Rattus norvegicus: one gene and its partners. The main gene of each other region encodes a partner of the protein of the gene in region 4 in a complex. Links are inferred from orthologs where the notes say so. Each region holds a gene or a part of one and is shown on either strand. Other genes may lie near its edges.

Region 1 (2,644 bases), on a different chromosome or scaffold from region 4:
AGTGGTGTTATCACATCCCCACTTGGTGGCTGAAGCATTCCACTCCCTGGCTTCTGCACAGTGTTTTCTTGGAGCCCTCACTCAAACTCCTAAAGCAATTTTATTAGCTGGACAACTATGACCTACCCCTGTCTTCCAACAGCCACAACCAATGTTTTTATCAATGACTTCTGGTTAGACTATAGTATTGCTGAGGGATGTACATTGAATCTGGGAGGAGATGGCATGGTGGCTCAGGATTGAAAACAGCTGTAATAATTTAAAATGGCAGGTGGGGCAATGGCAGCACTAGAGCCTGGGACAATCTGCCTGACATCTACCCTGTTAATGTTCTTGTATGTTTGTTTTTCTGATGACTTAGAAACTGAGATTCAATTTAGGTGCTGGCCCTAAGCACAGCCCAACCAAGTTTCTTTGGAGACCTGTCTACATTGGACTGAGCAGAACAGATGACCAGGCCCAAAGCAAAGGAGAAATCAAACACAAATGTTTACTCATCAGAGAAGGAAAAGAAAATGAAGACTTTATTTGTAAAGATTCAGTTTGTGGGAACTCAGCTGCAAAAGCAATTACTGTTCTCAGAGAACTCTGGTTACATTCCCAGCACACAGGAGAGTTTTTAACCACCTGTAACTAATAATCCAGAGGCTGTAAGGCCCTCCTCGGTCCCATGGCCACAAACAGCTCTGTAGACAAAACCTTAACCTAATAAAACATAATATGAATAACACTTTTAAGTCAGAAAAAAAAAAAAAAGAGGCATCTTAGGGAAAAGACAACCAGCCCCATACCAGAAAATACTTTTTATTTAAAAAATTTGTGTTTGCTTCATGATCAGAATTAGAAAAATACTACTGTGAACTACTAAATGGGTTCTAGATCACCATCTCCTTGAGCAGGATGAGGAGGAGGGTACGGGGAACACACATTGGAATCCGCTTAAGAGCCCACCATTATGAGGCTTTCTTTGCATGGTCATGTAGGGCAGATGTGTTACGTACAGGGTACTGTGGCTCAGGTTCTGCTGGAAGCCAGACAAAACTAGATGGGCCACACAAGGAGCTCTCTCTGGCCATAATGACCACAAAAGAGAACTTGAAGTCATTAGGAAGCTGTTAGAAACACCAAGATGGGGACAGCCTTGCCCCTTCAACAAAAGGAAAGAGTCTCCTGCTGATGATCCATCCCGGTTTAAAGATGGTGCCACTGGCCTCAGGTAGGTGCTCAATGCCCAAATGTCTGTGCTGAGGAAAAACCACACAAACCTTTCCCAGGTCAGCTCGACCTACCACTTTTCACAAGTGTGGCTGAAGTACCAGACGGATATGGGTTGTGACCTGATGGGCTACCAACTGGAATTCTTGTACTTCAGATCCTGTCCATACTAAAGGCAAAAAGAAAGAAACTGTTAAAAGACCAGTGAGTAGGTCTAGAGAGATGACCAGGCAGTTAAGGGCATCGGCTACTCTTCCAGAGGACCTGGGTTCAATTCCCAGCATCACATGACAGCTCACAAGTGTCTGTAACTCGAGTTCCAGTGGATCTGACTCATACAGGCAGGTCAAACACCACTGGACATTAAAAAAAATAAGACCAGTGTCTAACAACTGAAAGCTTGGACTCTGCATTTTAGAAGCCTCTTGATTCCACAGAACCAGAAGACTATCTTCCTTAGGAAGGAAGCTTTGGGGACTGGGAAGATGGTTCAGTGGGTAAAGTACTTGCAACCCAAGCATGAGGACCAGCATCTATAGATGGGGAAATGGGTTTCCTGAAGCAAACTGGCTAGCTGCTCTAACCAAATTGAAGAGCTTTGGGTTCAAGTGAAAGACTCTCCAATATATAATAAGGTGGAAAGTTATGAAGACACTTGACATCAGCCTCTGCTCTACACAACTCCTGATCATTTGTGTATACACAGAGGTGAGTATACAGAAGTAGAACTACACAGAACCTTTCTATCTACTGAAGTAAGAAAAGCATCCCCATAGACACCCCCTTAAATTCAGTTTTCTACATCTTCTAGGCCTTCAAAAAGCCATATCTGGGTGGGGAATCCAGCCCTCAGCAGTTATACCTGGAGAAAGTGGCCAGCGTGAGCATCTCAAGCAGCAGCTCTGAGCCACAAAAGAAGAGCAAGATACTGTTCATAATAGCTTCTAGGCGGAGCACGTAGGTCTGCAGCAGCAGGTAATAGGAAGCCATCATGGCAGAAGGGAAGGTCAGGGCCACACTGATGCCAAGGGGCATCTTTCGCTGGCAGAGGTTTCCCTTTGTACCTAAAAAAAAAACAGCCCCATGGTCACCGCCAATAGTGACTGCTCTTCCTGGCCTCAGAAAGTGTCTGGTGTGACAGATGGACGGAACAGAGAAAAATTACTCTCAGTGGGAATATCATATTTAAATATTTTATTAATTTATTGCTTATTTTCTGTGTATGAGTATGCACTGTGTGTGTGCCTGGCCTGGTGCCTGTGACAGAACAAATCATATTCTCTGGAACTGGAGTTGCAGAGGAATGTGAGCCACCATGTGAAGCTGGGCTTTGAACTCTGGATTTCTGGAAAAGTAGCCAGTGCTCTTAACCACTGAGCCATCTCTCTAGCAGGGAATATTATTTAAAATTTAAGTCCCACTGAACTAA
Region 2 (4,300 bases), about 19 Mb from region 4:
TTCTAGAAGCTGGGCAAACAATCAGCAGCAAGGCACTTGTTGTCATAGAAATAAGGTCTGAGCAATCAGTCAGTCATATACACAATTACTAAAAGCACCTTAAAGTCATGGCTCTGACCAGTGTTAGGAGAAATTTCAGGAGCACAGGACAAAATTCCTAAATTCTATCAGTCAGTACATGCGAAATAAATATGATCGTCAGAGAATCAGATAGGAGCAATCAGGATGTTGTCAGGTCCTGATTACACGGAAATGCTAATCAGCAGATCATGCAAGCTCCAATCATCATTTTCTATCTGCCCTCCGAGAGGAGGAACAGGTAAGGATTAACCTCCTGACGATAAAGGACAAAGGGAGCCCATTCCTAATTAAGTAAAGACATTCCATATTAAAGAAAGGGTGAGAATATGACAATTTAGCACGAACCCAATGACTTATAGTTATTGCAACTCAAGAGCAATATCTATTTGCAAGTCGCCTGAAATATTTTATTTTTCCATTCGGCGCAGAAAGAGAGAAACAAAGTTCTCCCATAATGCTCCGCTCACATACAGCAAATTAGAAGCCCTATGTGAGGTTCTTATTTACATATTCCCGCCCACTCACTTCCGCCTATTTTGTACCGTAAAAATCCAAATAGAAGCATAAGCTACTAGCTCACGTACAGAAGGCTAGAAAAAAGCCTTTATTTACATCAGCCTTTTGATTTACCCAATGGTCTTCTGACAAATAGTCTAAGCCTTGCTCTTATTATAAAATGAATTTTATTACAAAACTCTAATAAAATTATAACCCAAGATTTGTGAGATCTTATCCCAACATTGCCATTTTCTGTTTAGACGCAGTTGGGAGGAGCAAAAGACTAGGGCGAGAGAAAACTGAAGCCTCTCCCTTTCTTCTTCCAGCAATGGGAGGGAGTTCATCACGTTTCCGGCTTTGGTCTCTTCATCGGATTGTGATCAGAAGGGTTTCTTTTTCAGCCCAAAGACAGCGATGAATAACGCAGTTTCAGTGACAGCTGGAAAAGCGCTGTGGAAGTAGGGGGTGGGTTTAGAGCCCCTTCCGACCCAAACACTCAAACCTCCAAGCCTTATATGTGAGTGGGTTAGCGGATGGGTACGACTCTTTAAAACTCTACCAATTTCACATGTGCAGGAAAGGTCTAGGTGGGGGAAACCTTCAGATTTGGGGTAGACTTTCCACCACCCTCCATTCCAAAATAACCTGCAGAAGGCAAAAATGTACCAGTACGTGGTACATTCCCATCGCTCGAATATGAAGAAAGATAGGGCCACAGACGCGCTACAGTGGGCTGCAATGGCTTAAAAATACAGCAGAGTCAAGGAAAATAATAGGTAAGTGATGGGTCCCTTTAGTACTCGGACTTGGGCTCAGCTTGTTCCCTTCCCTTAAGACAAACACCAGAGTTGGCAGCCATGCCTTCTGAATTTGTGGACACTTATGTGTAAGAGGCCAGAGCTGAGTTTGTTTTGATAGGACCTCTCCCTGTACACTTTTGGGAGTTAATGTCACATATGCCCTAGGCCTCACAAGAATACCTACAGGTCTGATACACTGTGGGAATTTCTCCAGTGCTCTGGTCCTCCTTGTCCACAACTCAGAGTCAACGGCTATCTTTTTTTTTTTTTTTTTTTTTTTAAAAAACAGGGTCTCTCTATGTAGCCCTGGCTGATTTGGAACTCACTATGTAGGCCAAGCTGGCTTCGAACTTAGAGATTCACCTGCTCCTGCCTCCCTAGTGCTAGGATTAAAGGTTTGCAACATCACACCCGGGTATCGAGAACCTTCCTATGTGTCTCATTTTCTTGGTCCCTTTTGAGTTCCCACAATGGTTTGTATTTTGCACACTCCTACAGAATACTGTTTAATCACACTGATTTACAGATGTTTATCCATCTCTTCCTCAAACAGGATAAAGTGGTTTTACTCCCACTCATGGATCGCCAGAACCTGGCTCACATCAGGGTTTAAGGTTTGAAGTCTATTAATTCCCCAAAACTGTCTAAAACCTCTCACCTAGAGAGATTCGCTTTGCCACGTAGGGCAGAGACTTGTGCCCAAAAGGCCTACAGAAGTGGAAAGAGTGAGTGGTGATGATGTCGCATGGGGACGCTGGCCAGGCAGAAAGGATACAGAGGAGGCTCTGGGTGCTATTAAACATGGAGACTCCTGAGAGGAAGCCAGCCAGCTCCACTGCAAAGAGGCCCAGGGTGAGGCAGAGCGCTGCTACCAGTCTGCAGAGAGAAAGGGTGATGGACCTGGGTTTCCGGATTGCGTAGAAGACCCTGGCACTCTCACCCCGCCCCAAGAGCTCACTGGTTGTCCTGCTTCTCATATTCCTCCGGGGTGAACTTGAGAGGCAGGCAAGCCTGGATGTTGCTTTCCTGGTGAGCCGGGCAGAAAGAAAGAAAGAAATGTCAAAAGAGGGATGGGGTTGCGGGGGACGGGAGCAACGGACCCAGTGTGGGTCTGTGGGAGTGGACTGAGCTGAGCTGGGTCCACTCTAAGGTGAGAATGGGAGGGACAAGAAGACACGCGCGCGCGCCCTGTCCACGTCTTACCCGGGACCAGAACAAAGTGATGACAATCACCAGATGAGCCAAGAGCGTCAGGAATCGAGAGGGCACGAGCCCGGAGATCCGACCCATGGCCTCGGGGGCCCAAAGCGGAGGCCGTAGAAGTCTGAGGAGGGTCACTCATCAAGTCTCCCAGAGCAAGCAGGCCAGACCTCTCTACTTAAGCCTCCTTCCCGCGTGCTCAGGCGCCGCCCGGTTGCCATGGTAACTGCGTCCTCAGGCGCCATGCAGCTGCCTCCGGAAGTCTCGCGATAGTGCTGCGCCCTCTGCAGATGTCTATAGGCCAGGTACCCGAGCCGATGCTCACCTCCTGGTGCTTGTGGGATGAATCCGGGAGGATGCACCCGTAACCACCAAATCCTCCCTTTTCCTGTGCTTCCCACTCACTGCCTTGGGCGCCAGGAGATGAGGGAACGAAGGAGTAGAGCTTCAGCACCGAGCTTTGCCCCACAGTCTCGCCAAGCCCTCCCCGCCCCCCCCCCACAGCCCCTGGTTGTCAGAGGGCTCCCTCTCCCACCCAAGACCAAACCTCTGCCGATGAACGACTCTAATTTCTCCCTAAATAACTTGTCTCGGTTTCATGAAAGATTTGCCGAGTGCAGAAATGAGCAACCTTGGAATGGGTAGAATAGGATGTGGGTGGATGAGGTGACAGCCTCCTCGGGATCCCAAGGGATCTGAAAAGGTGAAGAATGGAGTGGGGGACTAGAACAGCTTGTGCGCCCCTGGGAGGCTTAAACCAGGCTGATTCACCACCGATTTCACTCTCGCTTTGAGTTGCCAGGCCGCGGACATTGCTCAGTTACAGACCCAGAACCTCTTCTTAGGGTGATGTGACTGATTTGGGGCTTCGGATGAAATGCCTGCGATCGGAAAGTTCTCACTACCATCCCAGTTCACAATCAAGTCCCATTGACAATGAACCTCCTCCTTTTGCACCCCCTCTTCTCTCATTTCTCTGTGTGTGTGTGTGTGTGTGTGTGTGTGTGTGTGTGTGTGTGTGTGCCTCTAAACCAGCCTAAAAGACAAGACCCAGAGGGATTTCATTCATTCAACAAATATCTGATGTCTCCCAGATGCCAGGCACTGTGCTTGACTCAGAATACATCGATAAAGTCCCTCCAGTTTATATTCTAGGCAGAGAGACTGATAACAAAACAAACAAACAAAACAAAACAAACAAATACACACACACACACACACACACACACACACAAAACCCCAACAAAACCCTGCAAGGTAATGTATGCTGTAAATTTAAAAACTTTAAAGGGTGACACTAGAATAATATCAAAGGAAAGTTTTGAAATAGATAATTCCTAAATTTTCGTTTCAAGGAATTGGGGGGAGGGGGAGAGAGAGAGGAAATGTTTCTGTCTCCCTAAAGTAATACATGGGGTCCCCTTACCTAAACCAGTGAGTAAAAACATTTAGAATGCAGAGTCAACGTTTTTTACTTAAAGGTCATGAAAGACAGGCTGGAGTTCTTCCCACTGAGTGGGGGATAAACCTAACCTAACATGAGATCCCAAACCAGACAAAAGACACCCCCCACCCACACACACACTCACACTTTCATTATAAAAGACTGGTGGAATGTTTGACAAACAGTATAGTATTTGTAACTTAAATAACAACAACGTAGATTTTTTTAATTTTTTATTTATTATATATGAATACACTGTAGCTGTCCTCAGACACAC
Region 3 (4,227 bases), about 26 Mb from region 4:
AACAGTGAGAGAACACCAGGCACATCTCAAACCGTCTCCTCCTCTCCCTCTCCCTCGCTTCTCTTCTTCTTTTTTTTTTTTTTTTTTTTTATTTTTTTTTACCAAAGCTCCCCGCCCCCCACCCCCACATTCACCGCCACTGCCGCCACCGCCGTCGGCGCGCTCCGCTTCTCTTCTTCTGATCACTGTTGACTTAGGCATATTTGGAGAAGCCAATATCATGGGATGACCACCAAGAATGGCAGCAGTGGTTGAGTGGAGCCAAATACGCTGTGAAGACCAGCAGGTGGCAGCCACCAGCTAGAAGAGAGGGGGTCTAGAATCTCTGCTTGTAAGAAGGACTCAAGGCTCTAAGCTAAAAGAATTTCTTACACTCTTGCACAGTGGCCCACCTGGGAGGCTGTGACCACATGCGTTTCCTCTTCCTCACAGGTGACTTTGGGAATCCCACCAACTGACTTCCAAGCTAAGAGCTTGTGTGATGACCTGGAGTCTGCAGGCTGAGCTCCCTAAAGTATACACATCTGCATCCATTCGTTTCCAGGCTAATCATTAATGTGCTCTCTAGTGTTTCCTTATACGTTCTGCATGTGAAGCCTGATTCTGCAGCTAAATTGCTGCAACGAATATGGCTTAAACTACCTTCCGGGTCTGGATTTCAGTCACTTCCTCCAGAAAAGAGATGTTTTCTTTTCAATGTTTATTCATTAAAGAAGTCGTTCCCAAGTATTTTCCATTGGCCGGACCAGGACCAGGCAATGACGGCCCCCAGAGTCGAGCTGGGGATCTAGAGGCAGAGACTAGCACTAAGCCACTCTGAATTAGACAGTGATAGAGTAAGTGCAGTTGGATCCAAGCGCTAACAGATGCGTCTACTGAGGATGCTGGTGACTTGGGATCAAGCTCTGATATCCCTGAGCTGCCAGTGATTCTCCAAAAATGGGTGATTGGTTCCGTGGGCTCCAGCTTCTCATGCAGGAGCCAGGACTTGGACAAGTGGATTCTCCAAGTTTCAATGACAAGAGCCTCAAAGGGCTAAAGGGCACATCCTTCACCTGAGGCAATGCACTGCGAGATGCCCGCTGGACCACACTGCGCACTAGTCTCCCCAACTGTGGCGCCTGTGCGGTCGCTGCATGTGGCCACAGCGACATCTCCTGGAGAGAGGTAACTCTAGCACGTGACCTTCCGCGAGCCTGAGTCCCGGTGCTGCTTCTCAGTATACAGCTTTCCGGCCTGCGAGCTTCAAGCATGGCCAGGAGAGTGAAGTCACAGTCCCTGCGGGTCCGAGGACCCGACCCTGGGGTTTAGGTTTCGCGCGACGGAAACGGAGGACGGGCCCCTGGGTCGTAAACAACACTGCGCCTGCGCACTCTTGCCTTTACGCGAACTCGTCACCGCTTGAGAAATTTGTCCTAGATGAGTTGCCATCTGTTTCCAAGACAACCCAGGAGCCTCCTGGCAAGGGCGCGCGGCCCAGCCTGCAATGGCTGCAGCAAGTCCCAGTGTCTTCCTGCTCATGGTCAACGGGCAGGTAGAGAGCGCACAGGTAAGCAGCCACTTACTCCTCCCGTTCCTCTCCCTGGGCTCTCTCCTCTGCTCTTAGAGAGTCAAGCCATTGCTCTGAGCGTCTCAAATAATTGGGAAGGCGAACCAGCATTTGAGAACCTTGGTGCCAGGTTGATGGACCGGACAAGCACGAGTGAAAACTGACCTCGAGGTGTTGAGCTGGTACCAAAGTCACACTATGGTCTCTTGCTTGGCTCCTGTTTACTTGGTTGAGTGATGGTCTAGAACTAATGGGATTCAGCCGATCATTTAACAGCTAGGAACTTAGCGGAAGGCAGTGGCCAAGTGGGATTTGACCCGGGTCTGACAGACAGAACTTTGCTACATTCTTCTTCTGGGCTGCTTGTTGAAAATGCTCATTATTCCTACATGTTCTGAGGTTTGGCTGAGATGATTTAAGTTCTACCAGGTCTGAAGCTCAGTAGGTGTTCCTGCCTTCCCATTCATTGGTACTGCATCCTCCGTTTTCCAGTAAGTGGATGCCTACCTGGGCTGCTTCCTCTGGACACCTTCCTTCAGCTTCTGCTCTGGGCCTTCCCTTCTTCCCGGCCCTCAGTTCTAGCCATGTTCTTTGGCCCTGTAGCTTCTTGGGTTCCACTGTAGCTTCTTGGGTTCCACGGCAGCTCATTTCTGTAGCTCTAACTTATGCCCCGAGGCATGAAACCCGTTCCTTCCTCAATCTAACAGGGCTTGTCAGATAGACATTGGTTTCCTGGATGCAGAAATGCAGAGGAGCGTTGGGAGCCAAGCGATGATCCTTAAGCCAGCTAGAGAGTAAAGAATTCCCTGAGGGTGAATTCTGAAAGATGGGCAAGGGGCCTGCCACATGATGGACTGGGAAAGACAGAAAACAGAGCAAAATAACCCGTGATAATTGGCAGTCTGGGACTAACCCCAGTTTCATTTCCATTCCCTGTCCCTGCTGAAACCCATGTCCACATCCTCAACCCCAGATTTCTCATGTTCATGATTCCTACCCACTGCACCTGCCTAGCTAGTGTGTGGGTCCAGTTTGCACTTTCTAGACCAAAGCCTGTATACTTTTCTCTCAGTTTCCAGAGTACGATGACCTCTACTGCAAGTACTGCTTTGTGTACGGCCAGGACTGGGCCCCAACAGCGGTGAGTTGGACTCATGGGCCTCCCCTAGAGCTCTTGTGATTCTTAAAGTTTTCTCATATGCTTCTATTCCAGACCCAACAGGTAGACACTAAGGTCAGAGATGACCCAAACATGAGCTCCTTTCTAGCAAAGCTAGTTTACAGTATACTACGGGGTTCACTCATCTGTGTTGGTGGCAGTCAAGAATAAGAAGTGGCAGCCTTCAAAAAAGAAAGAAAAAAGAAAAAAAAAAAAAAAGACGTGGCAGGCTCTGGAGAACCAGCTGCCAATGGCTATGGACACCCATCAGCCAATACCCCCCCCCCCCAAAATGTGGCCCCTTCTCAGACAACAAAAACCAACCAGAACAAAATAAAGGGTCTGTTCTCGAGGTTTTGAGTTCTTTACCACAGGAAGGGGCTGCAGTGAAGACCACCACCACACCATACTTCATTGTTTGCATAGCCTAACCTTCACAATAGTTTAAAAAGCCAGCCAAACATGATAGCATCTGCCTGTAATCCAACACAGAAGGCTGAGGCAGGAGTGTCTCTAGGAATTCAAGGTCAACTCTGGGCTACATATAGGAGGACCACACAACTGGAAAAAATAAAAAATCCAACGTCAGGGTTGGGGATTTAGCTCAGTGGTAGAGCGCTTGCCTAGCAAGCGCAAGGCCCTGGGTTCGGTCCCCAGCTCCGAAAAAAAAGAAAAAAAAAATGTCCAACGTCTTTGAGCCAGAGTTTCTTCATCTGTACCACAGACATGTTAATACTTTTTGGGTTTTCTCTTATGATACTTGCATAGAGATTAATTCTATTTTAAGTTGTGTGTCTATATATCTGTGTATGGGTATGAATGCAAGTGGAGGCCACAGGTCAGATCCCCTGGAGCTGGAACTGCAGGTGGCTGTGAGCTACCTTTGGGGCTGGAGAAAATTACTGAACAGAATATGTACTTTTGCAGAGGACCCCAGCTTGATTCTCAGCACCCACACTGTGGCTCACAACCATTTATAACTTAGTGACTATTATTGAGTCCCCTGGGAGTGACCAATGTCTGACAGAGTCCCCATCTTTGTGGAGAACATCTGTACTTGTTAAGGAGACACTACGTAGGATACGTTCTGTGCTACGTTCAAGGACAGGTGGAATGAAGAGGGAGTAGATCAGGAGCTAGAGTGTACAGGTAACTAGGAGGGTAGAATCTAGACCAAGGCATTTCAAGGGCGGGTAGAGACAAGCAACACAGAACTTACATGATCTCTCCACCTTGCCTGCTTAAATAGAAAGGTCATGGGTTCCTGGCACTCAGACCAGCTGTCTCTGCCAATGTCTATACAGGGTCTGGAAGAAGGGATCTCACAGATAGCATCCAAGAGCCAAGATGTACGGCAAGCACTGGTGTGGAACTTCCCTATCGACGTGACCTTTAAAAGTACCAACCCCTATGGCTGTGAGTCTGTGGGCCATGATGGAAGGGGTAGATCTTTACCACATCTGCCACCAATCTCCTTTAGGTGGCCACTGCCAATGCCTGGGTTTGTGCCCTAGCTTTT
Region 4 (4,098 bases):
AGTTTATGTTCAGTGTCCATTCCAATGAGTTTCTCACAGCCAGTAGCTGGGAAGGAGATACTCGGCTTTACCCTGACACAGTCAATGGCCTGGGAGGTGCCACGGAAAAGCTTAATTTTACTACTGTTATTATTAGTGGTGGTGATGGTGTGTGGGCACACATGCCAAAGTGTGGAGGTCAGACGACAACTCTGTGAAATAAGCTTTCTCCTTCTAAGGATCAAACTCAGGTCATCATGCTTAGTGACAAAGGTCTTCACCCACTGACCCATTTCTACAGCTCTTGATTGATTTTTTTTAATTGTTTGTTCTTCTTTTGTTTTGTTCTGTTTAAAATGAGGTCTTAGACTTGAAGTCCTTTTATTTATGCCTCCAGTGCTGGCAATCCAAACATAAACCCCCTCCCCTGGATATTCTCAGCTTAAAAAAAATCAGATTGACTTGCTTTTCCATCTCCATGGTTTCAGTCTATAGAAATCATTCTTTAGTTGGAAATTGTATTTTCTTTTCTTTTTTTTTTTTTTTTTTTTTTTGGAGCTGGGGACCGAACCCAGGGCCTTGCGCTTCCTAGGTAAGCGCTCTACCACTGAGCTAAATCCCCAACCCCGGAAATTGTATTTTCTTAAGGATGTGGATGGGAGACAGTAAGTCAGTGGAAGGTTTGAGGCCACAAAAACCAAACCAGGCTGGAATCTGTTTTTACCACCTCGGCACTCATTAAGAAGCCCCTTAATTTACTCCTGGCCTTCGGTAACTTCATCCTTTAAATTGCAATAAAGTATCTCTTGGAGAGGTTTTGGGGAGGGTTACAGTCAATATAAACTGCGTGAGGTCCCATTGGGTATGTGCTATTTGTGGTGAGTTCTTAGTGTACACAATGAGTAGCTAATGCGCCCAGGACTTCTCTGCCCTATAATCAAATGGCCATGAAATGTCTCAGTCCAGGCAACAACTGCTTGTTCAGCTGAATGGGCAGCAACTGTCAAATACTTATTACCAATATTGATATTGCCAAACAGCCGGAATTAAGTTTATACTATCTTTCCTTTGATGCTCCAGTGAACCATGACTTCTGAATGTCACTTTGGTTTTTCAGGGGCTGGCTTGGAATCTTAACTGCTTAATAATCCAGAACAGACATGCCACGGGGAAAACACCCTTTCCTTCCTTTCTGCTGGATTCCTTGTTTTTACTGCTGGCTTCCTTGTTTTTTCTTTCTCTGGCTCAGTGCGTACCCACAAAACTACTGATATACCTGCCCTACAGGTTTCTTTGTGGTTTTTTTCTTCAAAGAATATGTTTTATTTTCGTAGCATGTCCTTTCAACCATACTCACCAATTGTTTAAGCCTGAGTTTTCTTTCTTTAAAAAAGTTTTTTTATTTATTTCATGCATAATGGTGTTTTGGCTGAACATAATACGTCTGCGCACAGTATGTCCACTGTAAGGCGACAAGGTGTCTGACCCCTCTGGAACCGGAGTTACAGACAGGTGTGAGTGGCCATTTGAGCACGCTGGTTCCTCTGGAAGTCTAGTCACTAACCTCTTCACCACTAAGCCATTTCTACACGCCCCCTAGGCCAAAGTTTTCAAATGTTCAGTGGAAGGCAGTGTTTGGTCAGAAAGCAAGAACTCTGGTCACCTGGTTCTGGCCGCCATCACCATTTTTGCACCTAAATAAAGTAGCTGATGGCGGTTTCCTCATTTGTGCAGTGCATTAGCTCTCACACAGGACAAGCAAGGCTGCAGACGTCACACATGCTCACTTGCTGAGGGTCCCTTGCTTCTACATTAAGGACTGGCTGCCGCAGGCGTGGAGAGCTGCGTGCGCAGAGCCTCCCTTGTCTAAGAAGCCAGCGTCTCCGTTGCCAGGGGAACGGGGCGCGCTTTCCGGCGCGGTCGCCGCGCGAAGCAGCTGTCATGGCGGAAGCCGTCTGGAGCACTGACACCGGCGAGGCCGTGTATCGCTCCCGGGACCCCGTGCGCAACCTGCGCCTCCGGTAGTCACTCCACCCCAGCTCCAGGGTCCCCTTACTCTAAGCTCCAGGGCCCCCTAACTTTATTCCACCCTTAAGCTTTTGGATGCTCAGAGGCCCCTACTTCCGCTTACAATCCCAACTACTTCCTCTGCCATTTCTGTGCGCGTTCTGGTTCAGGATCTTTTCCCACTGAAAGCTTACAAACACACCTTCCAGACTCACCCCTGTTCAAGTCCATTCAAGTTCTCGCCACTTTCAAAGCCCTCAGACCCTTCTGTCCTGCCTCACTGACTTATCCATCAGACGCCCCTACCCACCTCTTCTCTAGCTGCCGCCTTGGCACCTCTGCCTCTGTGATTTCTTTCTCCCATCCTTACTGCGTGTATCTCCTTGCTGTGTGTCTTTGACACGCACATTTGGGACTTCTCTTCTCTTGACAGAGTTCATCTGCAAAGAATCACATCAAGCAACTTCCTTCATTACCAGCCTGCTGCCCAGATGGGGAAGGACCTCATAGACTTGGCCACTTTTAAGCCTCCTCAAGCTGCTAGTGGGTGTTTGTGGAATAGAATAGAATCATTTGAGAACTGAGGCAAGGGTGCGGGGCAGTAGGGTACCGAGGAGGAACAGAAAGCTCAGAGAGGTTGAGTTTGCTGCCCAGTGTCACATAGCTGGGGAATATGGAAGCGTTTGAACCTGGGCAATCGTTTCGTTTTTTTTTGTTTTGTTTTGTTTTGTTTTTTTTGTTTTGTTTTTTTTTGTTGTGGTTTTTTTTTGTTTTGTTTTGTTTTTTTTTTTTACATTGTACTTTACATTTGTGTGTCTGCAAGCCCATGCCACAGTGCAAGAGTGAAGTTCAGGGGATAACCTTTGCGAACCAGTTCAGTTCTCTCTCTGTACCTGATGCGTCCTGGGACTTGAGCCATCTTACTCATCCTAGTTGTGACTTTGACCGGGATTGGGGGCCGTTGGGGGGTCGGTAGGGAGACTGGGGTGGGGGGGGGAATGGGGGAAAGGGCTTCTAAGAGAAATATGGTCCAAACTCCAAATGTATGTGTAAATACACTTACAAACAATTTTAAAAATAGGAGTTTGCATGAAAAATGTGATTTCTTGTTCTTTGCCTTCAAAGCCAAAAGAAAGGACAAGAGTCTCATGTTGGGCCAGTAATCTTTAGTGCTTTTGTTATTTCTCGTTCTACTCAGAAATATTCTTAGGCATTCTTTGTGTGGATCACAAAGGTTGTGTCTTGAGAAAGATGCACAGAACTAGGAGTGTATTAAATATAGTTCTTAAAAAAATTTATTTGCCTTCCCTCCCTCTCCTGATGGTCTCCTGAGTTAATGTTTATGGATGATTTGGTAGGTGGCTTCAGAAAAACATCAGGATGTTTATCTAGCCAATTCAGCAAATGCAGGCAGGATTGAGGAAGGGCTGACTCTTCAGCCTCTAACTAAATTTCAGTTCCTTGTACTGGACAAGATTATATTTCCTGGAAGGCAGAGTTACCTTTTATTCAAATTAGAGTAATGATTAGGACACCTCAGATCCTAATCTCTCTTCTGGCATTAACCAAAGTGTGTCCAGCATGTGCGTTCTTTGTCTAGAGTGAGTGCTTAGTGAGTCACTGAATTCCAGTGGGGTTCGTGGTCGTTGTGAATCAGGACTTTGAAGCCAGACCTGGTGGTATACACATGTAATGTCAGTATTTTTCTGGCTGAGGCAGGAGGATCTGGAATTTGAGGTCAGATTGGGTTGCAGAACGAGACACTTCCAAACAACAATAACAAAAATTTTAAGACCCAAATGAAACAAATATAGGAACACTGGTTATAACCAACCACCGAGGAAGAAGTGTGGCTGGTCTGATTCATTCTGTTGTGTTTGGAGGTGGACACCGCCCTGATGAAGAAGAGGAGGAAGAAGTTATAATTGGGTGGCAGGAGAAGCTGTTTAGCCAGGTGAGCCAGCATGACTTGTCCTCAGTCTGCCTCCACCTACCTGTCTCGTACCTGGCCACTGACTCATACTGTCAAACTGATTTCCAGAAAGGGTTGTGGTGGCTTATACTTTCTCCCGTTATGTTTACGTAGCCATTGTAATGTAACGGCTACCACTG
Region 5 (3,500 bases), on a different chromosome or scaffold from region 4:
TGCTGCCAAAGGGAAGCCCTCATGATGGGTACTCACCCGTGTGGGGGCCACCTCATCATACAAATGGGAAGAAGAAGCTGAAGGGCAGCCTGGCATTGATGGTGGGTGGGGCTCGGAAGCCTGCCTCTGCAGGGGCTGACACATCCACAAATGTCACTGCAGTGGAAATGACCATGGTCCTCTCAGGCCCTGGGAGGGGCTGTAAGGAAAAGAGTCAGCACTGTCATCATCTTCCTCACCCGCCCTCACGGCCAGCCTGAGGAGCCGCACGGCGGGTGAGGAGCACTATGCTATCAACTATGCTGGTCCAGCAGCAGCAACCACAGTTCTGTGTTCACAAGAATTGTGACTGCAAATAAAACTGTCAGCCTTTTTGAGTACAAGTTAAAGAATGATCATGGAATTGTTTCAAGACTCGAAATTAAGTCAGGAGCCTGAGGCTCGGGGTCAGTGTGAGAGGGCACAGCATCATCTGCCTACCTTGCCCTCCCTCACGTAGGAGCTGTGACGTGAGCACAGCCATCTCAATCCCAAGACCCCACTGTAAAGAGACTGAAATCCAGAGAGTGATGGCCATCTCGCCTCCCGAGTAATAAGCATTCCCCGTCACCCTGCTGTCCCTGGGCCCTCTGTCTTCCTTCACATTTCTTTCTGTGTGAGGCTGAAGGTTGTCCTGGGTTAAGAACGGGCCTAGAGCTGTTCTGTCTGGTGGCTCACACCTTTAATCTCAGCAGAGGCTGATGGATCTCTGAGTTCAAAGCCAGCCTGGTCTACAAAAAGAGTTCCGGGACATCAGGGATACACAGAGAAACCCTGTCTTGGAGGGAAAAAAGATTGGGCCATACCCCAGCCCATGGAGACCGTTGCCAGCAGGCCTACCTCTGGAATTGAGATGAGCTGGGCAGTGACATTTACTATCCTGGCCTGGGGGTTCAGCAGGGACCCATACTTAGTCCATTTTACTTCTATACCCAAAGCCACAGGAAGCTGGCAAGAGCCCTGCAAAAGAAAACTAGATTAAACCAGAATATCCCACAACCACAAGTCAGACCAACTCTGCAGCTGAATGTTTTAATTAGAAAATGTCTCCCAATTACAGAATGTTCAGAACACTAGGGTAAACGGGCCACACAAGTTCAGGTACAAGCGACTTCACAGAGCTGGAGTTACTAAAGCATCTAGTGCTACAAATGCCGTTTCACCAGCCCCTCCTAGTCCCAAAAGCCAGAGTCACTGTGCAAATGTGAAGTTCCACTACCCAGTGGTGGGACCTTTAGGGCCTCGACCAGTCCTCATCCACCTCAGAGATGTTTCTGGACACTGGCTAGGGGTCAGCAGGGAAGAGAGAATTTAACAGTGGGAAGGTGAACTTGCTTGTATCGCATGTTAGAATAAAACAGGAAACACCAGCATTCTGTCATCTAATTTCACCATCTAGCAACGAAGATACATCCTGGGGTGGAGAGATGGCTCTGCAGTTGAGCACTGGTTACTTAGGTTGAGTCCCCACACCCACCTGACAGCTCAAAACCACCTGTAACTCCAGTTCTCGGAGACACGACACACTCCTCTAGCCTCTGCAGGAACTATGCCCATGCATATATATACGTGTACTCATACACTTTTTTTTAATAAAAGATTTTATGTATGTGAGTACACTGTTGCTGTCTCCAGACACACCAGAAGAGGACATCAGATCTCATTACAAATGGTTGGGAGCCACCATGTGGTTGCTGGGATTTGAACTCAGGACCTCCAGAAGAGCAGTCAGTGCTCTAACCACTGAGCCTTCTCTCCAGCCCCCATACACTTTTTTTTTAAATCTTTAAAAAAAACAAAAACAAAACAAAACAAAAAAAACCAAAAACAAAACAAAACAAAAAACAAAACCCAGCTCAGTTTCACATGCCTTTCCTCCAGTACTGGGGAGGCAGAAGCAGGCAGATCTCTGGGATTGAAGCCAGCCTGCTCTATGGTATCTATGTTCCCAAAGGTGACAGTGCAGAGCAGTCATGGTGCTCACCTTTATTCCCAGCACTCGGAGGCAGAGGCAGCAGACACTTGAGTTCAACGCCAGCCTGGTCCACACAGCGAGTTCCAGGACAGCCAGGACTACAGAGACCCTGTCTCAATCAACAAACAACAGTAACAGTGCAGCATCCTCACTGAGGTAGATGGACTCGGGGCCTCCGGACCCTCCTCTTGCTGAGAACTGGGACTGCAGGAGCTGCAGTGGGCAGAGGGCCCCTAAGCTACAGTACTTGCCTGGATGTTTCAATCTCCATGTATATTTTTCTAAATTATGTCCTGGCTTAGAAAGCTAGCAGACCTGCTAAACTGGAGACTGCCAAAAGCATTCACAGGATTCTTTAGCTTACAAGTGCCTTTTAGGAACCTTGTCACTGAACTGGCTTGCCAATATCCTGTCGCTAGGTGAGGAGCTGTGGCAGGTACAGTGGGCCTGCTTCCTCTGGCACTAATGCCTGGTGTCTTTACCCAGTGTCAGGAAGCTAGGAGCCATGCCCCAGGCTCACTGAGGCTGAGCAGGGGTTAAGTGATTCTTGGAATGGAGGTCTGGTGAGGTTACTCTCCCCACTGAGCTGCTCCTTGTAAATACACAAAGCAGATACTGAGAGGCCTGAAGCGGCTGTGACAAGAAATAGCTGGGTAATTAGGGGAGAATGGAGTGCACACCTCCGCTGGGGACAGCCCACACTCTGCTGTTAAGACAAGAGAAGGAGGTGGGCAGAAGAGTCACGTGTGACCAGGAAGCTATTTGTAGGATGTCAGCTTCCATTAAACTCTTTGGGGAACTTTGGAATGGAAAGAACTCCCGTGTGGGTGGACTGCCATTACAGCACAGAGGGCATGGCATGGCCACATCTCCTGTCCCTCCTGTCCCCAAATGCCCGAGGAAGGCTTACTGCATCACTGCCCTCTGAGCTGACCATCCTGGAGGACTGCAGGAAACTCTGGAGGGCCTGGTGTCCTGGGGACTGAGAAAGTTGAAGATGGACAGGAAATTCACGGTTCATGTCCACCTCACACAGGAGGGCTAGAGATATTTCAGGGAGCCCCAGTTTTGACCACAGCTACCATATGATGAGTAACATGTTAGCACTAAAAAGTTCCAGATTTAGATGTAACATTGATTTCCCAACCATATTCGACTATGGTGGTCACTTGTGCTCCCAGTTTATGGAGTGACCACTGTGTCCGCCAACACCAAACAAATAACCCTGTGTGGTCAGTGACATTGTTTCTGGAGGGCTCTGGTAGGCCCGGGCCTGGCCAACATGGCTCTGGCAGGCCTTGCCTTGTTAAATCATTAGATCACATCCCCAAAGCTGGCCCCAAGGCCTGTGCCCACATTTGGCCACTTCCTCCTCCTCCTGAGGCTGACTACCAAGGTCCAGCTATCAAAGTAAAGCCCCCTTTGGCTGCCCTGATTAACACACCCAGTTAAAATAAAACATTTCATCCCTTATAAATTTCTATTT
Region 6 (3,500 bases), on a different chromosome or scaffold from region 4:
ATATGAGATTCTCTATTTTGAATAAAAATTTAAATTAACAAAGTATAGGAAATTGTGGGGAATGAAGAATGCATAAACTATGAAGAGGAACCAAGAAAAGATCAGCTATAAATTTCAATATCTGGACTGGATATATTAAAGCACATCATTTCCAGCTCTTTTCTAAGTCACAAACATACACAGAACAACAACAACAATGACAACACTCGGAATTACACTTTTTTTTTTGTTAAACATCATATCCCGAGCAATTTTCCATACATACATAGTCATTTGGGGAGGTAGAAAGGATGACTTTTATTTATATATAAAAAGTGGCAGCATAGGAAAATCAGCCAGGCACAGTCTGATATCTCTGCTCAGTCGGTTCTGATGACCCCAGTCTTCGTAGCTTCCATCTGGTCGGTAGCCGACAACGCCAGGAATCCTCTGGGCCTTGAGCTCCTTCACTGCGAGGGTCTCCTTCCGCTCAGGCTTCACCATCCCCGGGGCACACTCGGAGAGCTGGAGGGCTGGGGACCCAGCACCCACTGGCTTGCTAGTACTTGATCATGTGTGGAGTAGTGACTCTCACTGACTTTCAGTTGCTCCCTAGTCCTGCTGGGCATTTTCCAAGACATTTATGCCTGCATCCTCCTCCTTGTCCCCTTCAAAGTCATTGCCACTGAAGGTCCTCATTGTCTGACATGAGGACAGTGGACTCCCATCTTTAATATAAAATAGTTAAGCACTAACTTCAGAGGTTTAATTGTAAAGGTAAACCAGCCTACACAATCCTCTCAAACGTTTGCATGCTTTCTTCCTGTGGAAAAATCTAGACTCTAAGAATTTTCCTTGGGTTAAAATTCACATAAGCAGTCTAAGACTAGAGAGTCCCAAGAATCTCCTGACGTTTACTACTCAAAACATTTTCCAGTTGTAAAAACCTTCCTGATAACACCTGTCTTACGGTTCACATTTTATTAACCATTAGCTTCACAGAAGTATGGCAAGTTGAAGACGGAGCACCATGGTTTTAGATATCAATATCGCTGACATATTAGTTATATGCACTTTACCCTAATTTGCTATCTTGTAATTGTGACTGACATATATGTCCTATGATAGTAAACTAAACTGAATTACTACTCACGTCCTGAGGCTTTCCAAAGGGTACACTTTTGATGGCACTCCTCGGTTGTCATCTTTGTTCCCAGGGGCTTACGGCTTAAATTATTACAGGTAACCTTTCAACCCACAGTCGCGTCTAAGAGCTAAGGGAGGGTTTAGCTCCTCAATTCTCCAAGTCGCAGATATGGGCTCAGTGAACCCCTAAGGCTTTCTTCTTAGCACCCCTTGTTCTTTTTTGGGGTGTCCTTGCTCGGGTCTCAGTATCATCAACCTTTAGCCAATCTTTGTTTCATTTATCTCCCCAGGTTTCTTTTATTTAGGGTATTTTACTGTAGACTTAAGATCCTGTCATTTCACTTGTGATTCTCTAATAAGGATTTAATGAAACAACCGCCACTGTCATTTTTATAACTAACAAAATTAATCACTTAATAGAACAGCGAATGATTATGTCAGACTTTCTCGGTATCTTAAGCTTCGCTGCCCTGTTTCCTAGTGTCCCTCAAGCAGGATCTCCTCTACCCCACCATCAGCCCTCCTCTCCTTTAACGCCGTTGGTTTGTTACAGACAGTCAGCCATGTGCTCTGTGGTGCGCTGCACATTGGATGTGCTAAGGACTTCTATCAGCTCTGTCTCGGTTGCTCCTCTGGACTCTGTTCTTCCTATAAAACCGTGGTTAAACTAGAGATTTGATTGTCTTCAGGCTCGGTCTTCCCAGCACAGCAGGAAGTGCAGTGTCGGCTTGCTTCATTTTTAACTGACTGAAAGGAGTCTCTGTGTCCGGATCCCGTGAGCCTGACCCTTCGCTAGAGCTGCCATTGACACGCTCTTGTTTAAGAACCACTGATGACTGCAGTCTGTCTTTCCACCCATTAGTCTCAGTGCACTGGTGCTCCCCTAACTCAAACATCCTCCCTCTCTCCCTGCAGAGGAGGAAGAACTTTCCTGGCGCACTTGATTACTCTGAAATCCATGGAGACTGCAGACAAACCCGGGCTCCATTCGTACTCAGGTCATTACTTGGCAGCCCTGCGACTTTCCAAAGTCATTCGTGAGGACTACGTTCTTACCGCCTCTCGCCTCAGGTTCATGTTCATGTCCTCCATGTTGGTGTCCGCATGGCCGTGGACTGACCTGCCGTGAATGTAATATCCAAAACATCTGTGGGACAGCAGGAACACTGACACCTGCAGAGAGCGCGGGAAAAGAGGCGATCAGGGACTTCTCCATAACGGCCAAGTAAGCTTTTGTTAAAATGGCTACCTTTTACCCAAAATAACGATTAGCAAGGAAACAATGTTGTTTGTTGTGTATAAAGTTAGTGGAAAGAAGGCTAGAGCTGTTTTCTAAGAATGTGTGAAAAAAAATCAGGGGCTGCAGGATGAATGAATCACTAATTAATTATTCATAATTAAGAACTGCAGATAAAGAAGAAAAAAGGTAAGGCAAGAGTATTAACTTGTGGAAGAATATATCTATTCTTCAAATTAATAGCTGGTTGAAAATTAGATGGGCAATCCGATCATCACAAGCCAACTTATTAAACTGCTGTAGAGCTGCTCGGTGAGATGTACGGGCACGTTTTAATGCTTCTCTACACATACCTGTCTTTCCAAAGTGGAAAGTGACAGTCGCAAGATGATCTTAGAGAGTACTCACGTTACTCATGGAGCACAGGTCAACGAACTGCCGGATTTTGTCTTCTATGAATCTCTCATAAAAGGCAGCAAAGAAAACAGCCTGAAACAGCAAGGCATAGTCACGCATGCTGCCTCCTTCGGGAAGTCCACCGTCCTTAATAACCGCAGTGGACTATTTTAAGAAAACAGACGTTCCAACCAAGAACACAGTGGCCTCTAAAGGTTCCCATGGGATAAAATCCCATTTATCTGTTCTGAGTCTATCCCCTAAGGCGGTGAGATTTGGAATTATGTCAAGAGTTCCTGAGTGACCATTTTGAAAAGTGCCATATTTGGAGCCCTCCCCACCACTCTCCAATCCTAACCTCTACTCTTCTTTGTTAACTACCTCACATCGCTGTCAGGTATCTTCATAGCATTTGTCATAGTCTAGTTAGCTCTTGTAAGTGTTAGGGCTTTCACACAGATTCAACAGTGTCTATTACATAAGGCATGCTTAACCTAAGGATGGATTAGAGACTCCATAGCACCTTGTTTATAGTATATCCTTAAACTAAACACCACCACCACACACACACACACACACACACACACACACACACACACACACACACACACACTCTTAAGGAACAGAACATACTAACAGTTAAGATTTAAAATGTAAAGGAGTGAACACTGAAGCCTGCTTGACTGTTAGGCACATTTATGAAGAGGTTAGATGTTAGGTGCAGTTTTAAGAATGCTACTGT
Region 7 (2,343 bases), on a different chromosome or scaffold from region 4:
CAGAAGCTTCTCAGGATAAGTGCTCTTTCCTTATCTCTCCCTGGGGCACGGCTACAGGGATGGAGGTCACTACTTGGTTCTGAAACACGAAGATTTTGATTCTTTCAAACACCCAGAGGAAGATGAGCAGGATGCTGACATACTGGATCCAGGCAAACTTTATCATCTCCCAGAACCCTGGCTGATAAGTACAAATGCTAAGGAACAGCAGCCACGAGTAAGGAACAGCTACCCCAAAGCTCAGGTCAGATGGGAAACAGAATACTTCAAATACTCTCCAGAGATTATTAAGATATAAACATGGATAATTCTGACTCAGAAATGTTTAGAAAGAAAGAGGCACAGGAAATTGATTTTTCTTTGCTGTAGGAGCAGCAGTCATTTGTATGGGGCTAAAGAGCTGTGGCAATTTCCTATCTTGTGAGTCCCACATCTGTTCCTACTTGGGGTAACTAAACTAAGGAAGCTCTTCTTTCCTAGTGGAACCCGGCTAACAGAAAGGATATGAAATGACTTCCACGGGATAGCGGATGACAGCATCGATCACAAAAGGAGCTTCAGCGGCCCGGCCCACCAGCCAGATTGGGTTGGGGTCACTGAGGACAGTGGTAACTGCAAGGCAAACATTAGTCATTAATTCAAAGCGAAGGGCTATAAGTAGTCTTTGAGTACAGATCCCAAAGTCTTTTCTGTTTCTAAGATCTATTTGCATGCTTGTGTGTGTGTGTGTGTGTGTGTGCAGGTGTACCAATTCTCTCCCTCCACCATGTGAACCCCAAGGATAGAACTCAGGTCATCAGGCTTAATGGAAAATGCTCTTATCCACCCACTGAACCATCTCATTGACTCCTTTCTTCTCTCTCTGTCTCTCTGTCTCTGTCTCTGTCTCTGTTTCTCTCTCTCTCTCTCTCTCTCTCTCTCTCTCTCTCTCTCTCTCTCTTCTCATGTAGCTCACTGGTCTCCAACTTGCTATATTACCAAGGATGAGCTTGAATTTCTGATTACTCTCGTCTCCATCTCCTGAGGGCTGGGGCTATGTGTGTGTGTGTGTGTGTGTGTGCTACCAAGCTTTATGTGGCACTGGTGACTGAATCGGGGGAATTGTACCCGATCTATGCTAAGCAAGAGCTCGAGCTCTCAGCCCCGAAGAGTGAAAGTTGTATGAAACTATTTATATATGGACAAAGAGTGAATGAATTAAAGAGGAAAGAGTTGATCTTGGGGCCAGCAGTTGTCAGATTTAGTTTTAGGAATTGTATTGCTGCTATTGTACTGCATAAAATTAAAAAGAAATACTGGAATTAAAAGCCCTCCACTTGTGAAACGTTTGTGGCTGTCACCCATAATGTCGTGTTGCCAGAAACACTTTTGATGCCTTTAGGGAAAATGTTAGACCACAAACCAGCCTGGTGTGCTGACTCAAGCCTGGGGACACTCCTCTAGGGACGAACGCTACCTATAGTCAGTTCTGCCGGTGCCTCCCTTCTACCAGCCTACCATTGCGGACTGCCTGACACGCATCACCCATCGCTGTCTGGAAAGTGAGGACAGTAAACGGCCCTGACTTCTCTTACAGGTGTACTATGAGAGACAACTCACTCAAACCAATACACACTAATGAGAGCAAAGCAGCCAAGCCAGTGACAGGATAAATAAAGCGAGTGATTGCTGATATGCTGGGCTACGGGAGAGGTGGCTTGTGGGGAAGGGTGTGGACAGTGGACAGAGGACAAGTTCCGGCAAGCCCGGGCAGCCTGTGGACAGGGGTCCAGCAACTCACCATTCCTTTCCTGATAGGCAGCGACAATGTGAGTCAGGTCGTAGTCATGGGCAAAAGGACTGGTCCCATTGATCACCGATACCTGGGGCGAGGCAGGAGGACACACTGTGAGCACTTCGCTCTCCTTCCCACGCAGCAGCCCACCCAGCCTCAATCCTGAGGCCACCCTGGCCCAGAGACCACGCTCTTGTGCTTGTGACCCAGCCCTGGTTCAGAATTATTTCTGTAGAGTTCTATTTTTATTATTCATACTTGTGTGCGAATGTGAGTGTGTCAGAGGGTGGGGGTAACATGTACATGTGAGCACACGTGCCCATAGAGGCCGGAGGCATTGGGTCACCCTGGAGTCTGGAGTTAGAGTTACAGGTGGTTGTAAGTGACCTTATGTGGATGCCGGGAATAGAACATCTCACCAGCCCCGGTTCAGTAATCTTTTCTTTGGGGATGAATAAACTTTCTGTAATAATCATTTTTGAGTACACACACACACACACACACACACACACACAGAGAGAGAGAGAGAGAGAGAGAGAGAGAGAGAGAGAGAGAGAGAGAAAGAGAGA

The links.
Region 1: Mks1 (region 4) and Tmem216 share a complex: the UniProt entries of both Homo sapiens proteins name them as parts of the tectonic-like complex. The link is inferred for Rattus norvegicus from reciprocal best matches to the Homo sapiens genes MKS1 and TMEM216.
Region 2: Mks1 (region 4) and Tmem107 share a complex: the UniProt entries of both Homo sapiens proteins name them as parts of the tectonic-like complex. The link is inferred for Rattus norvegicus from reciprocal best matches to the Homo sapiens genes MKS1 and TMEM107.
Region 3: Mks1 (region 4) and B9d1 share a complex: the UniProt entries of both Homo sapiens proteins name them as parts of the tectonic-like complex. The link is inferred for Rattus norvegicus from reciprocal best matches to the Homo sapiens genes MKS1 and B9D1.
Region 5: Mks1 (region 4) and Tctn1 share a complex: the UniProt entries of both Homo sapiens proteins name them as parts of the tectonic-like complex. The link is inferred for Rattus norvegicus from reciprocal best matches to the Homo sapiens genes MKS1 and TCTN1.
Region 6: Mks1 (region 4) and Tmem67 share a complex: the UniProt entries of both Homo sapiens proteins name them as parts of the tectonic-like complex. The link is inferred for Rattus norvegicus from reciprocal best matches to the Homo sapiens genes MKS1 and TMEM67.
Region 7: Mks1 (region 4) and Tmem231 share a complex: the UniProt entries of both Homo sapiens proteins name them as parts of the tectonic-like complex. The link is inferred for Rattus norvegicus from reciprocal best matches to the Homo sapiens genes MKS1 and TMEM231.

The regions. Positions count from the first base shown.
Region 1 is NC_086019.1:216,620,876-216,623,519, forward strand, and holds the end of Tmem216 (transmembrane protein 216), read right to left. Parts: intron 2,280-2,644; coding exon 2,078-2,279; intron 1,385-2,077; coding exon 1,369-1,384; 3' UTR 501-1,368; downstream 1-500. UniProt on the Homo sapiens protein: Part of the tectonic-like complex which is required for tissue-specific ciliogenesis and may regulate ciliary membrane composition.
Region 2 is NC_086028.1:54,269,696-54,273,995, reverse strand, and holds Tmem107 (transmembrane protein 107), read right to left. Parts: upstream 2,801-4,300; 5' UTR 2,670-2,800; coding exon 2,583-2,669; intron 2,406-2,582; coding exon 2,338-2,405; intron 2,280-2,337; coding exon of another isoform or gene 2,256-2,279; coding exon 2,155-2,255; coding exon of another isoform or gene 2,038-2,154; intron 1,322-2,037; coding exon 1,225-1,321; coding exon of another isoform or gene 1,030-1,224; coding exon 960-1,029; 3' UTR 476-959; downstream 1-475. UniProt on the Homo sapiens protein: Plays a role in cilia formation and embryonic patterning. Requires for normal Sonic hedgehog (Shh) signaling in the neural tube and acts in combination with GLI2 and GLI3 to pattern ventral and intermediate neuronal cell types.
Region 3 is NC_086028.1:46,684,721-46,688,947, forward strand, and holds the start of B9d1 (B9 domain-containing protein 1), read left to right. Parts: upstream 1-1,427; 5' UTR 1,428-1,486; coding exon 1,487-1,549; intron 1,550-2,621; coding exon 2,622-2,690; intron 2,691-4,012; coding exon 4,013-4,124; intron 4,125-4,227. UniProt on the Homo sapiens protein: Component of the tectonic-like complex, a complex localized at the transition zone of primary cilia and acting as a barrier that prevents diffusion of transmembrane proteins between the cilia and plasma membranes.
Region 4 is NC_086028.1:73,151,301-73,155,398, forward strand, and holds the start of Mks1 (tectonic-like complex member MKS1), read left to right. Parts: upstream 1-1,298; 5' UTR 1,299-1,920; coding exon 1,921-2,000; intron 2,001-2,419; coding exon 2,420-2,529; intron 2,530-3,869; coding exon 3,870-3,940; intron 3,941-4,098. UniProt on the Homo sapiens protein: Component of the tectonic-like complex, a complex localized at the transition zone of primary cilia and acting as a barrier that prevents diffusion of transmembrane proteins between the cilia and plasma membranes.
Region 5 is NC_086030.1:39,998,094-40,001,593, reverse strand, and holds part of Tctn1 (tectonic-1 precursor), read right to left. Parts: intron 2,997-3,500; exon of another isoform or gene 2,024-2,996; intron 1,000-2,023; coding exon 880-999; intron 390-879; exon of another isoform or gene 200-389; coding exon 56-199; 3' UTR 1-55. UniProt on the Homo sapiens protein: Component of the tectonic-like complex, a complex localized at the transition zone of primary cilia and acting as a barrier that prevents diffusion of transmembrane proteins between the cilia and plasma membranes.
Region 6 is NC_086023.1:30,338,167-30,341,666, forward strand, and holds part of Tmem67 (meckelin precursor), read right to left. Parts: intron 2,852-3,500; coding exon 2,771-2,851; intron 2,299-2,770; coding exon 2,182-2,298; intron 1-2,181. UniProt on the Homo sapiens protein: Required for ciliary structure and function. Part of the tectonic-like complex which is required for tissue-specific ciliogenesis and may regulate ciliary membrane composition.
Region 7 is NC_086037.1:56,794,173-56,796,515, forward strand, and holds part of Tmem231 (transmembrane protein 231), read right to left. Parts: intron 1,863-2,343; coding exon 1,781-1,862; intron 613-1,780; coding exon 507-612; intron 189-506; coding exon 11-188; 3' UTR 1-10. UniProt on the Homo sapiens protein: Transmembrane component of the tectonic-like complex, a complex localized at the transition zone of primary cilia and acting as a barrier that prevents diffusion of transmembrane proteins between the cilia and plasma membranes.